2 linked regions of the Mytilus edulis genome follow. The protein of the gene in region 2 interacts with the protein of the main gene of each other region in a pairwise test. Links are inferred from orthologs where the notes say so. Each region holds a gene or a part of one and is shown on either strand. Other genes may lie near its edges. The genes, in order: nck-associated protein 1-like and cytoplasmic FMR1-interacting protein 2-like.

Region 1 (8,964 bases), on a different chromosome or scaffold from region 2:
TAAGGGGGATACTATCAATATCTGCACTAAAAAAAGGGGAGATTACTATCAACTACTGTGTGCGAGTTATTAGTTATTATTGTTTGCTTAAAGTATCATGATACAGTGGCAAATATTTCAGCCATGTTCAAGATTAAACATTTGTGTGTTCATGTGAGCTAATTAGGTTTGCCTTTTGTATCAAAAGTTATGGTTCCAAATGGTGGATATTTAAACCAAAATATATACTTATGTATAGTTCCTAAAATGTTTACTTCTGATAATTTATATTTGATGTTGGGTATTAAACAACTTAATAACATAAATTCAACCATTACTTAAAATAACTATTCCTATTCAAAACGAAACAATATATTACTAAATATTGCATTATAAAGTCTTTATTTTCTTTAACTGCTTCCTTAGAGTTTGGCTTTATTCCAATTCAGGGCTATCAGGGTAACACAAAACCTCTGAGGCAAAATAAAGCTTTCCAGGGAAATGGAGTCAAAAACATTAACTTTTCAAAGTCACTCAAGCATGAATTGTAGGCCAAAATCAGGGAGATTTTGCTGAACAGTCGGAATTGTTATAGTAAAAGTTTTACCATAAATCAATGATACATCTATATATATTTTAAGAAATGGTCCTCTATACATGCACCCCCTTTTATTCAAATCCAAAAATAGAATAACAACTGATTGAATAGAAAGTATGATGCAGATACAATATGTATATATCAGAGATACATTTTACATTCATACGTAAACTAATGAAAAAAATAAAATAGAATGTTTTCAACTAACGCTTTTAGAAAGTAAAAATTATAAACGAAAAATGACATCCACATATAGACTTTGTATATGTATACATACATACATACATTTAAAGCCCAATCACCAGACTACTAAGATATTTGAAACAAAATGACAACACTGTATATATTATCCTTTGACTTCTATATATTTACAGGAAAAAAAACATATTAATACAAGGGAAAAAAAATATGTTTAATTCCAGTACATGTACAAAATATTCAAATATATAATGTAAATGATTCAAAAGATCTTTTTATTCCAGTACATGCTTTAAATCTTAAAATTCTGCAAGGGTCTCTCTATATATGTTCATGATGTTGATCTCCTTTCCCCATTAACTTATTTAGTGCATCATGGTATACCCTTTGTTGGAATTCCAAATTCATAGTACATACACAATGTGTGCATAATACATGTAATATACACAATGTGTACATAGTACATACACAATGTGTGCATAAAAGTGACAAAAAAGTTCAAATTAAAATGTGCAAATATTTCTCAAAACTAATAAAAACTTGTACTGCTAAGTTCAATTTATTTGATGGAAAACATACTGTATAAAATATGGAAATATCACAATTCAATAATAAATATTATTCTATAATCATGATAACTAAAATTTAGTTTATTTTAATTTTTCATAAAAAAAAATTAATACTTTACTTCGATTGGAAAACAGTTTAAAAAGTAAGATACTGAACAAATTAATTAGGATAACACATTGCATTAACCATTCCCACAAGAAATTGCACTTGGTCTTGCACTGTCTAAGTCTAGTATCTGGTAGTTGACATCCTTAATTTATATATACCAGTTTATCGCTATTTTGTGCATTTTTCTTTTGATCTTTTTTTTGTGATAATTTTCATATCATGCTTCTCGCTTGAGATGGAAAAATTATCGCTAAAAACTAAGGAGACCACGTGGCGTTGCTTACGAAATTGACATGAAATTGACAACGTCGTCATAGGTAAAATAGCGATAAACAGATTATCATTGGTCATCTCAACTCGATTGCTTTTCTCACTTTCGCTGTACCAGCTCAAGCGAGAAAATCAATCTCGTTGAGATGATCAACGATAATCTATAAATATCAAATGCTGTTTTACTGTTTTGGCTGTTCTATCAGGGTGTCTTAAGGTCATTGAAACAGCCAGGTTAGGAAAATACCCTTTAGACCAAATTTAGAATAAATGGCTAACATGGCTAAGGTAAGTGAAAATTTACACACTTTCAGTATAGCTAGAGGATTAATGGCATAAAGGACCTTGATTCGAAAAAATTAAAAAGTCAAACAAAGAATACCCCCACCCTCCATAAAAAAGAGAAGGATAATGCTTTGTTTTGTTTATTTTAAGTACATACTCTTTTTTATCTTCGTAAAGGTCTAAATCATGTCTTTTATACATTGTATGTCTTTCAAGTTTTGCAGGGACTAAAAAAATAACACTAATGTACAAAAAGAAAAAACAATGACAGACAAAAATCACTTAATCTAATGCTACAAATAGATTAAAAAAAAAGTATAGCAAACAGACATGCTGACAACAACGCCATCTACTTACAGACATCTGTTAGGTCATGTGATGAAAAACAAACTGTTAGTATATCAGCAAACCATTTGTATGCAGAACTTGATTAACAGACAAAAGAGGAAAGGTCCTGAGCATCTGGGTTAGTCTCTCTTTGCTTAGGGCCAAACAAAAAAGTATTTGTGTTTACACTGTACTGTCACATGCTGATAAAACAGGGTAGGTACACGAAGGTACATATTTTGTAGGGATTTTCTTTCTTTCTTTTTTTCTTTCACATTGAGTCTAGCTATGGGAGCAATATTGTGATTCTAACAGTGCTAAATAAAAATTGGCCAAAAAAAACTTTAGGGTAGGGGATAAAATTTAGGGTACAATGTAGGTACATGTAGGGGTACAGTAAACACACATACTTTTTTTTTTGCCTAGTCAGTTCATACAAGGTGATTTGATCAAATATCACTTTTTCTTCTAATAATACATACTGTACATGAAGATTCATTGAAAATGATTTAGACCAGGAAGATAAACAAACATATAATGAAGGTTACTTTTTTTTTAAATCAGAGAGAAATGATTTCCTGCATTGTCAGTATTTTCCCTCGACATCCTCGTAAACAGGGAAATTTGCAATACTATCTTGTTTCCAAAATTAAAGCATTACGGCCCGGTACATCCATAACATAATCTATAAGAAAACCAATTCAGATGGTATTTCATTCATGAAATATAGCATCACATTACCATGATGTTAAAAAGCCCTGGGATAAACACTGATTGTAAAATCCAAACAACAACAAAAAAAATTCACTATACAGCCAATGCCGCCAACATGTTTTCCATAAAATTGTGCTCAATACCAACTGTCAATATAACTGTTAAAGCTATCCCGTCAGATATATAGTTAAAAAATTTATGAATGTATGCAGATTATTTTCACTGTGCATTTTTCTTGAAAGTTCTCTTTAGATTATAAAAATTGACAACAAAATTGCATGTTATAAACCAGCCAGTTGCAACCATGATGTTCTAGCATGTCCAGGGCATTTCCCTATCATTCAAAATTAAGTATGAAATTGAATGCACTATCTTCATAACTGAATATAAAACATGATAAAATAAGGGAATAAAACATACAAAAGAAGCTGGCACTTCATACAAATGGACGAAAGCCTTGCCTTTCAAAACACCATGCATTCGTAAAAACAAATCTTTCAACACAAACAACTATTGCTTACATCCTTATATTTACTGAATGCCTAGAACCAAAACAAAATGTCAAATAAGTTTAATCAAACGAACTACATGTAAATTCAGCATGCAAGCAACAGTGATTTGAAAAGCTCTTTTTCAATAGCTGAAAATTATAAACAAAAGCATTGAAAAAATATCATGAAAATCCTGAACTATTTATTGACTAACATTTTATGAAGAATTTGGAAAAACCTTCTGAATATGATTTATTCATTTTCACCATTTGTGAGTTTAGTTTTGTTTGATCACTATCTTGCCATGTAAAAATTATTTTCTCTTTAATTCACATTCATTTTTCTGCATCTTCAATGATGTTGATAGGTTCACTACTCATTTTCATTCTTTTTCTGCAGGGGAGGTTGTTTATTTTCAGTTCGAACTATGCCAGAATACCATTTATAAAAACCCTCCTCATCCACCCCACCCATAAAAAATGTATCCCCTAAATACACAAATCTGTATACATTGTTTCAAATCTCACAATGTTTGAATAAATTGTCATGTATATCATGTATATTGTCCATGATACCAAAAATATGAAAGTTCTGAAAAGCAGGGTTTTTTTTCTAAACTAAATTAATTGTATTTTAATCTAAGCAATAATTATTTACACATATTCATTCATTTTTAATCTAAAAGCAGTTAGTTATTGATACTTCCTAAAATGTAGTTTACTACTTTACTATCTAACAAAACAAGTGCCTACATGGCATAGGGTAAAGTGAAACATGATACATTGTAAAACACTTGTTTTCTTAAGCATGTTTTAAAGTGTAATTACGTTTTAAAGTGTAATTACACTTTTTCATCATTTACAAACATTTATTATTGCCTTTATGTTATTTAATTCTCTACATTTACATGTGTATGAAGTCATCAATAACTGCATGCAGGTAAAATGTATGATGGAAAATAAAATGTTTATTTGATTTAAAAATTATGAATAATAATATGGGTGAGTCATGAATTTTTTATGACATTAGCTATGTATATATATATATAGCACTGTGCAAGAAAATTTACAACAAATTCAAAAGTTGTTTATAGGTCTCAGTCTTATGTTCATTGTCCATGTTGTCTAGTTAAATGTTTTAAGGTTATTTATATCTGTTACCATAGACATATACCCCCCCCCAAAAAAAAAGTGCAAGAAATTTCTTGTAAATTTGAAGTTCATACTTTTAAGCTGAGAAAATTCATTAAGTTTTGTTTGTTTGTTTCTCATAGACTTAGTCTTAGTTGTACTGAAAAGTAATCTGCTTATTTGTGGCAAATTCGTCAGTGGGTCTCATTTGAGCTTAGGTTTGACCTGGGATTGCTATTAATAGACCACTTTAATTTCCAGTTTGTCCGTCACTGTTTAAAACTTACCAATTATGCATGGCTTTATGACCAGATAGATGGGGTTGCCTGTATCCTTGCACTATAACTTACATCCAGGGTCTTAGTGATTGTCATTGTGCAGGATAAACTCGAAATAATGGTTGTTCTGTAGGGACTTATTTAGGATTCCCTAATGACAGTAGTGCTGATTATCAATTATGAGAATTCAATTTGCCTTTTAATTCGTACAATATAGCATTATAGTTTTCCAACCAGTAGCTCAACAATGGAAAAGAAGTGACGACACCCCTAAATGCACAAATGGCGTTCACTAAAACCAGTTTTTGACGGAAATGCATTGAACATGTTGAACTCGAAAGTTGTCTATTAGAATCGTGACTTGTACATGTCAAATTTGTGTGCATGAAAAAGGGAAAAAAAATCATCCTTGATCTGACCCCATGTGGGACAATTATCTATTTAGTAATGGTATGATGATAACATTTATAATTTACATGGCAGTGTACTCTAAATCCAAAGTTAAAAATACATCAAAGACACAGGGTCTTCAGCTATTTTACACACTGACTAAATTTAAAATCTTGTTTCTTCTTTACCAAATTTACACAATTTTAGAAAAAGGATCTATGCAGACTATGGCATTTTTGACTGTCAAAAACAAACCTTTTTGATATTGTAAATGCGTGTTAGCATTCCACGACCTCGCTCGTTCATGATAGTTAGTTTTTCTGCCAGCTTCTGCTGGCTTGGCATCATTCCTCGAGACATGTTTTCTGTGTTTTATGAGGGTAATTTCGCTAATAAGAGATGTTTAGATATTCTTCAACCATTGTATACTTCCTTAAAAGACACTTCCGGTTATAACAAACAAGAGGCTCATGTGGTTAGTGAGATTATCTCCCCTGGTTAAACAACTGGCATTTAAATTCTGATAATAATATCAACATGAAAGTGAAAATCACCCGTGTACAATCACAACAACAATATATAATGATCATGATATTGTGAAAGTAATTTTAAAACAACAAGTGAATCAGATAAAGTCTTAACTCTCATATCTTAATGTTTTCTTTGTTTTTTTTCTTTTAGTCAATTTTTTTTTTATTCATTTTAATATCCTATTTTTTTATTATGTAAATTGAATAGGATTTATTTTTATTTTTTTACAGTGTAATCCATTGTATTCTTAAATATTACAAATATCTGAAAATATGGCACAAAATAATTATTTTAAACTCAATATATAATTTAAAAATAATTTTTTATCATACTGAGAAGAGTAGGATATCATATCTAAATGAAATGAAAGATATGTTTTAGATTTTAAGCATTGACTAATATTTTGTTATTTTAACAAGTTTTTTAAATTCATGTAATATATAAGCCCAAGCTGCTGCTTCTTCTTTTCTTTTTTTAACATCATAAACTCCCATTTACTGAAGCATTTATTATTTATGTAATTTTATTGTCACTGACATGAATAAGATACACACATCATCGTCACATGTAAATAAGATAAGCTTATGATAATAAACAAGTTAAAAAGCAATATATGTATATACAACTCTAAAAGTCACAACAACAAAAAACCAAAAACCATATACATAGTGTGCTGTACATAGTTATAAAAAAAAAAAATATCCACAAAATTACCGTCATATATACTCTAATATTATTAGAGGTGTTTCTATCTATAGGAAGCTTATACAAAGAAGAAGAAGTTAAAAAAGATAAGAAAGTATTCATTCTGACGGGCGATAATTCAGATTAAAGATTATATGAGACAATATCTGAAAAAGTCTAATTTTTGGCAATATCTTTATTAGATCCGAAATCGAAGAACACACATCAGTGTGGATCTAGGAACTGTTGTCTGTAATTCAAACGATTGTTAAATGTGGTAACAATTAATAAAAATGGTATAAAAAAATCCAGTTCTTACCTGTTACCAAAGTGATTCAATTTTGAAAAGTTTCTAATGGAAATAAGGAATAGGTTAAAGACACTATTTGTGGTTTACTGGTATATCCTGCAATAGTTTATCAAATGCCAATTATTGATTTTAGCATTTGCAATACAAAAGGTTTAGAAATATCCTAAAATATAGTCAGATATGTCGGTAACATGAAAGTATCTTGAGTAACAGGACAACGGTAACAGGACAGAGTTGGTAACAGAAAGGATTTTTTTCTCTCAAAAAAATGCTTTTTCTTTTTATAGTTTAAGAAAAATACATCATTTCAGATTGGTCACAATTGGAAGATAACAGCAAACAATGTCATTTATCCTTTGAAACTGTATTTGCAAGATGAAAAATCTGCCTAGGTAATGAAAAAATAAATTCCTTTCTGTTACTATTTACTATACTAAAATTGCACAACGTTCTGCTAAATACCTATTTTTTCATTCAATATACTGTATATTATTTTGAAATTTATTTAATATGGTGATGATAACTTATTAAATGACATAGATGGCATATAGTACATTAACTTTTTGATTCATCAGTGAAATTGTCTTGAACATCCTTCCTGTTACTGATTATGGTTATGCTGTTACTTCCAATCAGGTAACATGACAGAACGTAACAGAAAGAAATTACGCAGTACTTTTTGTTCATTTACTCGAATTGCGTATAAGTTTACTTCCATCTACATGTCAATTTGATAAGATACTATAAAAACACAGGTACTGGTAAAGTGCTGACAATGAAATATTCTCAGAAGGTACACAAAAAGGTTGTAACAGGAGAGAACAACAAAATTATTTTTCTCCAAATTCTGATCTTTGGGGAGTTCAGATTTTTTTTAAAAACACATGTACTGGTAAAGTGCTGACAATGAAGTATTCTCAGAAGGAACACAAAAAGGTTGTAACAGGAGAGAACAACAAAATTATTTTTCTCCAAATTCTGATCTTTGGGGAGTTCAGATTTTTTTTAAAACTGGTTGCTTTTCACCTAAACATATGGAGTCATACATTCAGGAAATGATGCTCCTCACATTGCATTACAAGAAATAAATTTTTGGTCTTTCAAACATGTCCACAGGTGGAAAAAACCAAGCGGTAACAGAAGGGAAATTACCCCTCGGGACAACATTTAAAACACCCTTAAAAATGTAAAATTTTCTTACATGCTTTAGTTATAACAAAACCAGACCAGTAAGGGAGAAGTTTTTTTATATAATCTATCAGATTTGTGAAAATCGGAAGGCTGTTTTCTTAATTTAGATATTCTTTGAATGATTTATTTTTCAGAAAATAACAGGGGACAACATGATTTTTTTTGGGGTGGGGGGGGGGGGGGGGGGGTGGGGTTGACCATTTAAATTTAGAAGAAATGTTTAATTGGTTGCAGTTGGTGCATTATATACTCTAGTTAATACTGTAACTTAAATTTTTCCAAAAAGATGCCTGAATAAATAAATAATTGCTCGTAAAGTGTGGGACATTGAAATAAGACTTTTTCAGATATTGTCTCATATAACAAATTCCTGTCAATGTTCATTATATTTATAGTATATTACCCGATATCAACATCTTTTTGAAAATGCCAGTATGGGCAAAACACTGAAAACTTGATCATACTGAAAACTTGATCATGTCACGGTAAAATATGCAATCAACTATTTTTCAAGGACTTTCGACGACGCCCCTCCTCTGAGTATTTGCTTTGTTTTATGATGGACATTTTTGATTTAATTTATGTACATAGTGACAAGTCTGTAATTTATGTTATCAGTGAATACATTTTCTTAATAAAAAAAAACAGCCTAGGAAGATCTTGAAGGCTGAGTCAAAGACCCAACTAACTGTATATATAGTGTCTTCAATCGTTGAGGACTTTCTTGAACTGGCAGTTTCTATAGCTAAACAACGGAAGTTTATATATATTGTAAATATATAGTTTTCATGTGTATTTCAAGTTCAAAGTTCTTACAGTTCTGAGGTGGTTTTTTTCAGACCCGTTAATCAGTCCTATTTTTTAAATCAACCTCTCAGTCAAATCATGGCGTAATATTTTGTAGTTTCAA
Region 2 (8,964 bases):
ATAAAAAGAACATTAAAAGCACATATAGATTAGTTATTTAGTAAAATTAGCACAAAGCAGCAGAAGCACTATATTGAAGATAACAAAAAAAGTTTGTCATGCTGAAAATAAAAATAATGAACAGATATTAACTGGTTTTGCAGGCAAAACATTGGCATGAGCTGCAATACAGACCAAGAACTTATCAAGTTCAGTGGCGGAACTTTTCATAAGGAGGGGGGTGCTGAATGACCTAAGGGGGCCCAAATCAGTCATGCTTCAGTGATTCCCTATATAATCAAACTAAATTTTTCTACGAAAGGGGGCCCCCTGATCCGCCTATGAAGTTCTAGAATTGAGTTAAAGATGATTGCTATCGAAGCTCATCTGGCAGCTCATTCCAAAGCTTAGCACCCGCATACCTTAAAGATTGTAGGCCATATGCAGAAGTTCTTACATGTGGTAGATCGGCTGTATTCTGGTATCTGAAAGAGTAAGTGTTTTCTTTCGAGTGTATTAAATTATGGAGATATGTACAGGACCATCTTTATTAACAATTTTGAAAACTTCAATAGCCTAAGATCGCATTCTTCTTATTTTTAAAGATGGTAATTTTGATTTGCAGAGTAGATCTTCATAACTTGCTGAATAGTCTTCAAAGATAAAACTTATTGCTCTCTCTTGAATTTTCTCTATCAATTTGTATTAACCTCCCCACAAACTGACAAACTAGTGGGCAGTAATTAAAATTGGACATTATGAAAGAATAATAAATTGGTAATTTTCCGAGTTTAGTCACTGAGGTGTTTATCTATTCTTTTTAATACATTTAATTGTTTCTTTGGATGCTTTTTTACATATTATAGAGACATAAAATTGAGAATGGAAATGGGGAATGTGTCAAAGAGACAACAACCCGACCAAAATAAAAAAACACAACAGCAGAAGGTCACCAACAGGTCTTCAATGTAGCGAGAAATTCCCGCACCCGGAGGCGTCCTTCAGCTGGCCCCTAAACAAATATATACTAGTTCAGTGATAATGAACGCCATACTTATTTCCAAATTGTACACAAGAAACTAAAATTTAAATAATACAAGACTAACAAAGGCCAGAGGCTCCTGACTTGGGACAGGCGCAAAAAATGCGGCGGGGTTAAACATGTTTGTGAGATCTCAACCCTCCCCCTATACCTCTAACCAGTGTAGAAAAGTAAAAGCATAACAATACGCACATTAAAATTCAGTTCAAGAGAAGTCCGAGTCTGATGTCAGAAGATGTAACCAAAGAAAATAAACAAAATGACAATAATACATAAATAACAACAGACTAGTAAACCTTTTCAACATCTCTCGACATCGACTAATGACACCTACAGTTTACAGGTAAAATGGATGGGTCGTCTCAAAGACAAAAATCATCATGATTATCATCACGTAACATATTGGATTGGCGGTTTTATACTGTTTTGACTATTATAGTTTAAGAATATATATCAACCAAATAAATAAATAAATAAATATATGTATGGTGGCCGGATGCGGCCATTTATTTCGCCTTTTCGCGTTTTCGTGAATTCTCCGTTCATTTTGCAAACGCGAAATTGGGAATTCGAGAAATCGAGAAATTGAGAAAATCGGGAAATCGGAAAATCGAGAAATAGGGAATCCAGAAATTGGAAATATATAAGATCGGGAAATCGAAAAATCGAGAAATCAAGAAGGCAAAAACGCCAAAACACGAAAGAGGAAACACGAAAACGCTAAAACGCGAAATGAATTCTCAATTTTGCGTTTTTGCTTTCTCTATTTCTCGATTTCCCGATTACTCAATTTCTTGATTTCCCTTTCTCGATTTCTGGATTTTCCCGAAAGGGGAAACGTCTACCACACATATGTCTCTGTCATATAATATTCTTATTTCGTATGTATTTGCACGACATTTCATGTTGAATTGATTAAACAAATATTCCAATCATTCAGAATCCTAACCCATTTTCTCTTCACTTTTGTGATGATGTGAGTCTTTCGCCAAATATTTGCCGCATGCCAATAACGATTTAATTTGTTGGTGTAAAAGCTTTCATGATGTTTTTCAAAAATGAAAAAGAATACTGGTCCGTCCGTATCACACTTGTGAACACGCTCAACTTTGTGTTTTTCCACCGATCTTCACCTCAGTCGATGTACATTTTCAATTTTTACATAATTACATATTGATTTTTTAGGTCAAAGGAAAAGATCACGTTTTTTTTTATTATTATTATTATCAACGACGGTCTTCTCCGCTTCAAGATATCTTGTTCGAGGTAAAGTTTTTCCTAGATGAATTTTGAAAAAAAATATAAAAGACCCCTCGTTTCAATGCTACAACATTTAAGCAGTGACTGGTGAATACAGAATTCAAGTGGAACACCAAATTGGTGAATTGAAATGATACAAAGTATTGAGTACATTATTGAGGCATACAAGGCCAAAACTAACAGACATGTGCCGCCCTTGTAAACCAACATAATCATTGTTTAATTTTAAAATATCAACTACAATAGAACATGATTTGTTCTTTTCGTTTTCCAAATTCAACCAGGACAGCTAGAAGCTAAATGTCTAAAAGATGAAATGTGACTTAAAGTCTATCATTTTCTTTATAACAAATTAAAACAAAATCATGTCATTTGGACTCTGTATGAAAGTTTTATCATTGTCAATGATTGAAAGCAATAAAATTAATAATGATCTCATTTATTTTTTTATTTTTGAGACTACCCTTCACATTTTACCTGTCGTAGTCGTTCTCAACTGTAGGTGTCGAGAGATGTTAAAAAGGTCTACTAGCAGTTAACTGACATGCCAGCTCCAGACTTCAATTAAACTGACTGAAAGATTATGATGTTCATTGAAATTTAGTTTAAAACCTATTATTACACCTAGAAGTTTAACGTTATCTTCACATTCTATTTCATTACCTTCTAATTCAAATTTAGGTTTTTGTCTTTAGTTTTTTTACCTACAGGTATTGCTTGACATTTTTCTGGATTAGCTTTCATTTTATTTTATTGTATATTGAGAACCAATTTATCAAAATTTTTGCTTTCCACATCTTCTGAAGTATTAGCAAGGAATTGTATATTTAAATATACAATTCCTTGGTATTAGTTAATTTATCTAAATCTTTATCTGCATATGAAAGGGGGTTGTCATCTGCATGATTATAGAGTTCACTTTTATGAATAAAATAAAGAAATGTCATTTAAAATTTGAAAAATAATGTAGGCCTTAATATCGAACCTTGTGGCACCTTTTAAACATTGTTTGTCAGTAGCTTAAATTAGTACCTCCTTTAACACACTGTTTTCTGTTAGTTAAATAGCTTTCCAAAAGTTTAAGAGAGTAGGTGGAAACACCATAGGATTTAATATTAGTAGGAGGAGGTCATGGTGTAGGCAGTCAAAAGCCTTGGACAAGTCTATAAATAGACGTATTTACACTTGTATGCAAATTTGTCCGCCATTGCGTAAAATCACACAGGTTCCCGTAAACTTTGACATCATAATTTAAAATTATTTGACGTCACAATTTAAAAGTGATTGTTGCTCAACGTCAAAAGGTGATTCGGAGTAGATTTAAGGTCATTCGCGGAGGCAAGATTCAGCTAAATACCAAAAGTGTAAAAACGTTTATTTATATAGCTGAGAGTCAGCACTACATATTTATTCTGATCTTAAACCTTTTCCAATATTCAATTTAAGGTCTTTAGTTTCCTTTATCAAGAGTGTATTTTTTATGTAGAGTCGGTATTTCTTGTTCTTCTTTTAATTTATCTGGTAAAACAGCCGATTCAAATGATTTATTCAGTAGTTTAGAAATTGGATTGGATAATTCAAATAAGATAATTTTAGTACTTTTGAAGAGATAGATACCATCTTTTCCTGTTGCCTTAAATTTTTGTTACTTTTTTTTCAACAAAACTCAGAAATTTACTGTATGCACACCAGTGGCGGATCCAGGGGGGGGGGTTCCGGGGGTGCGCACCCCCCCTTTATTTTTGCCGATCAATGCATTTGTATCGGGACATATGTTTTGCACCCCCCCCTTTGCCCTGGGTGCCCTGGGTTAACACCCCCCCTTTCGAAAATTCCTGCATCCGCCCCTGCACACATGGAAAACTATTTGTTTCTAAATTAGAATGAGTAAAGAAATAATTGAAGTATTAAGTTATGATCAAATTATTAATGTTATTTTTACAGCGCCATGTCATTTGCATGAGTACAAATACGGTAATCGTTGCACTTCCGAATATGGTAGGGAAATTAGTTTTTCAATGGGAAATAAACTGACTACCTATTGTTCAAATCTCAAAGAAGATCAGTCAATAGCCGCAGGTAACCAGTCAGTTGCTTTTGTTCGCAGCGCCCCCTATGGTCAAGTAAATCCGGAAGTTATCAAAAATGATAAAAAATGAAAACTGACATTTCCTTATTATGTGAAGTTTAAAGGTAATTAATCGGATGAACGACATAAGCAAAACAGGGACATGTAAAACATTATTTATATAGATTGTGCACTTGCAGTCAAGTCGACATTTTGCATTCAAAAAGTAGTATCAAATATCAATCCTGTCGAACTCTAGCTCTTCCTCTTTTATAGTTTATAGGAGGAAGAGCGAGATTTTTCTTTGAGGAACAATATAATTTCGGGTAGGCTCACATGTATCTGTCACTGAACGTAACCGTTAGTAGGTTAATGCAAGGTAGGAACCAGATCTATGAGATCCAGATTAATTCTCAGATAGAATTGTTATAATTTCTCAAGGGCAACAAGGTAGATAATTTAGTGAAAGCTTAGCTAATTGAGTTACCCCCTTTAAATAAAGTCATTACTTACTTACTTCCTTACTTATTGTTGATGTTCTATTTTGGACAGGTCAGGAATAACCATCAATTGGTGGATTATACCTCAATTGACATATAATCCACCAATTGACATTAATGGTATAGACCAATACACCTTATCGCTAATCCTTGCCGACCCAGCCGCAGCTTTTAGACGCATACAACAATCACTTTTCCATTGTGGCGTCAGATATTTTGTATTGTGACGTCAAAATTTTACGGGAACCTGTGTGATATCTAGTAATGGCGGACAAATAGCGATAAGGTGTATTGGTGTATAATTCTTTGTTCTTCAAAACAAATTATTCTACCCAAATGAAGCATTGTTTTCTTGAAATCATATTATGGTATGAAAACTTGTCAAACATTCCTAGTTTAGTATATATAGTGACATAACATATTGCATTTAATCAATAATTGTATTTTCAGTTTCTTCTATTGTTACATGTACAAATGTATCTTGTCAATTCTTGATTGGCATATTTACCTGTAAAGTGTAATCACCTGTCAATACACCTTATCGCTATCTCCGGCTGACCCAGCCGCTTGAACTTTTGACGCACACAACAATCACTTTTCCATTGTCATGATTGTGGTGTCATATATTTTGTATTGTCATGTCAACATTTTACGGGAACCTGTGTGATATCCAGTAATGGCGGACAAATAGCGATAAGGTGTATGGACATCATTTACTGTCTGCAGTCATCATGGTCATGTGATCATGAGTACAACTCCTCAGGTGAATGGAGCTCTTTGTTCAGTCAGTTAAATCACTTATTTGAGTAGCAAATTCAAAGTTTTGTCACAAATTGTGATTTTGTAGTTTTACCAAAATTTTAAACCCATTATGTTTAAAAAATATCTTTTCATTAGTAAAATTGAAAAAAGTGAATTTTTGCTTCTTTTAAGTATCAAGGTTTATGCCTTTGATGCTATCATTTAGCTGCAAATTCTATTTTAGTTGAAAAAATGCTATAATAATGGCTTTACATAATGAACTGATACTTTCTTAACAGATTTTTCCCAGCAGTGGGAGTATTTTTCCTGTAAAGTTCAAGGTTTCATCTTTCAGATTATGTCATAAAATTTTACTGTTCACCATAAAAATTTCACTGTTCGGGGTGTTGAAATTAGTGGGGGTTATTAAAATAATGATTCTTAAAGGAGTGATTTTTGGGAAGGAAATTGAGGTATGATACTTAAACAAGTGAGTTTTATGTCATTATCCTCGATTCAGTACAAGGTCATCACCTGAAATGACCTAGTCATCCTAGACAACATGGATGTTAGTTCTGATAAGTTTAGAAACATAATTAGTCCCTGGACCATTAGTATTCTATATTTAAAGCTACAGTAAAATTAAATCACTTCTTCTAGTGATTATTTTGTACTACTTAAATAGGTGATTATTAAAGAAAGACAACTCTTACTTTCAACCTTTATGGAAATAATGTTACTTGAATCAGTGATTTAGAAAATCACTCATTTAAGTAAGTCCCCTGACTTGTTAATACTTGAATTCAATTATCAAAAGTCAATCATGGTCAATACATGTAGTACAAATGTTTCAACAAAAGAATTGTTGTACACATGCATTCTCAAGAGATGCAGAAGGCTTTGACAAAACTTAATTTGAAGGACTCAATAAGGGTCATAAAATAGGTTGCAAGTTGCAAAATCATGCTCCTATCTCACACTAGTATTTTATTACAAAAAATTTGCATTATACGTCAATTGGTCCTTACCAATTATAATATACCTTAATTGGTGGATTATACGTCAATTGAGGTATAATCCACCAATTGGTGGTTATTCCTGACCTGTTGGACGCCCCTATTTTTGGGTCTCATGAATTAGCGACAAGGTTGCATTACAATATAAAGTATATCATGTTGGCACCCTAAAAAAAGCAGGACAGACTGGTGATCCCAAACTGTATATACCCTTTTGCTTCTATGAAACTACAATGACACAAATGTATAAATTTTATTAAAATTCATATTTTTGAATCTCAATACCTCAGGTCAATGTACATTAATTTTATATCAAATGGACTATAAAATTTACTTGATTTAACCAAGTATTCAAATCAACCAAGTTCTACCCATCAGTGGTAAAAATGCATTGATCATACAGAATTTTACTAAGACTTTTAAATTAGTTCTACTCATTAGAGATTTTAGCACAAGCGAGTTCAACACAACAGGATGCATCTGTAATTCACAGTCAATTGGGCAAATACAATGTACTCAAATATCATGAATACAAAACTGTACTTAAGATCAGTTATTACATTTCAAAGATAATGAGTATTATTTCAATGCTACATTAACATGTTTGTTTCTTTTGTTCATAGTCATACTACCAGCAGGAGATATTTGATAAGAGGAAAACACACAAACTGATGACATTTATTGATATTCCTTCGATGTACATACATGTACAAAATGCATATCATGTATATGCTGAACTTGTAATGTTGCTAGTCAATTCGAAATTTTGACTTTTTCCTTGGTGTTAATTCAACATTTTCAACAAAATGATTTTCTAATCCTTAAATATTGTCAAATGTACTAAGTTACCATTAATTCATACTACTACTAGTACTGTAACTCCTACTTGAATTCTTCAAAACTCATTGCCTCACCTATCTCTGTTAATATATGATTATATGACGCTATCATCCCACACATTTAGAAATTAATTTTCTTCTTTTTAGCTTTGAAAAATGTCTGGAGACAAGATATCCCTGACCGACGCCCTACAGAATGTAGATGTACTGGATGAATTGCCTTTACCTGATCAACAACCTTGTATAGAAGGCCTGTCATTGTCCATCCATTACCAAGCTAACTTTGACACTAATTTTGAGGATAGAAATGCCTATGTCACTGGGGTTGCCAAGTATATAGAAGAGGCCACAGTTCATGCAGATTTGGTATGTACAATATATACATATGAAATTGAGAATGGAAATGGGGAATTTGTCAACGAAACAACAACCCGACCAAAGAGCAGACAACAGCAGAAGGCACCCAATGGGTCTCCAATGCAGCGAGAGACTCATGAACCAGAGACGTGCTTCAGCTGGCCCCTAAACAAAAATGTATACTAGTTCAGTGATAATGGACGTCATACTGAACTCTGAAATATACACAAGAAACTAAAATTTAAAATCATAATACAAGACTAACAAAGGCCAAAGGCTCCTGACTTGGGACAGGATCATATTTGAAGTGCAATAATGTGAACACTTTCAATCAGCACCAATAATGTTGATATAAATATTCTTTGAAAAAAGGCAAGCTCATCATTTATGAGGTTTGCCTAATCTATAATTCTCAGCGCTGTGAACTACTACCACCAAGACTGAAAATTATCTGAATTGTACTATAGATCAGCCTGATAAAGGTAACCAGAGTTGTTTTGAATTTTTGCCACTGTATAAACTTGATCATATATTTTTACAGAACAAGCTATTAGAGAAAGGGCAAGAGTTTGCTGCAATATTATACACATGGAGATGCTGTTCTAGAGCCTTACCACAGGTAAATAGAATAAATGATAACACATATACTGAACTTTAAGATTCAAGTATACATGTATATTAACAAATCAATTCCCATAGGGTAATGGAGGAGGGGCATTACATTTACTGGTCTGTCAATTCATTAGTAGTAAATTAGTCTGTCAGTCCCATTTTGGTTGACATAGATTGAAGCAACTGTAAGTCACTGTACAGCCTTCATGAATGAGAAAAACGTTGTCTTATACTATAGTAAGCTTTTTAAGTCCAGCATCACAAAATGTAAAATGATTCACTGAGAAAATAAACATGTTTATATCATCAAAACCTGATTTTATTCCAAAATCAGATCAGGGTCTCATTTCTAAAAAAAAAAGTATGGAAAACCATTGAGATCCATTCATCAATTTTTTTTTAATTTCCTTACAACAAATTTGACTAATAAACAAAAATCAGACCATTGTTTTTAACCTTGTTGGTCAGAAGCATGGAATAACCTTGCACTCTGATGCAAATTGAAGGGCATTAACTCTGAGGAATGATATGATCATATTTCAAACATGTA

Evidence for each region.
Region 1: the proteins of cytoplasmic FMR1-interacting protein 2-like (region 2) and nck-associated protein 1-like interact in binary tests that used the Caenorhabditis elegans proteins (3 or more experiments, as listed by UniProt). The link is inferred for Mytilus edulis from reciprocal best matches to the Caenorhabditis elegans genes gex-2 and gex-3.

Annotation. Positions count from the first base shown.
Region 1 is NC_092350.1:74,780,126-74,789,089, forward strand, and holds the start of nck-associated protein 1-like, read right to left. Parts: upstream 5,795-8,964; 5' UTR 5,699-5,794; coding exon 5,594-5,698; intron 1-5,593. UniProt on the Caenorhabditis elegans protein: Rac effector required for tissue morphogenesis, cell migrations and egg laying. May play a role in egg laying and in yolk protein clatherin-mediated endocytosis by oocytes during oogenesis.
Region 2 is NC_092351.1:9,972,102-9,981,065, reverse strand, and holds the start of cytoplasmic FMR1-interacting protein 2-like, read left to right. Parts: upstream 1-4,290; 5' UTR 4,291-4,474; intron 4,475-7,592; 5' UTR 7,593-7,601; coding exon 7,602-7,811; intron 7,812-8,343; coding exon 8,344-8,421; intron 8,422-8,964. UniProt on the Caenorhabditis elegans protein: Required for initial steps of body morphogenesis. May play a role in egg laying and yolk protein clatherin-mediated endocytosis by oocytes during oogenesis.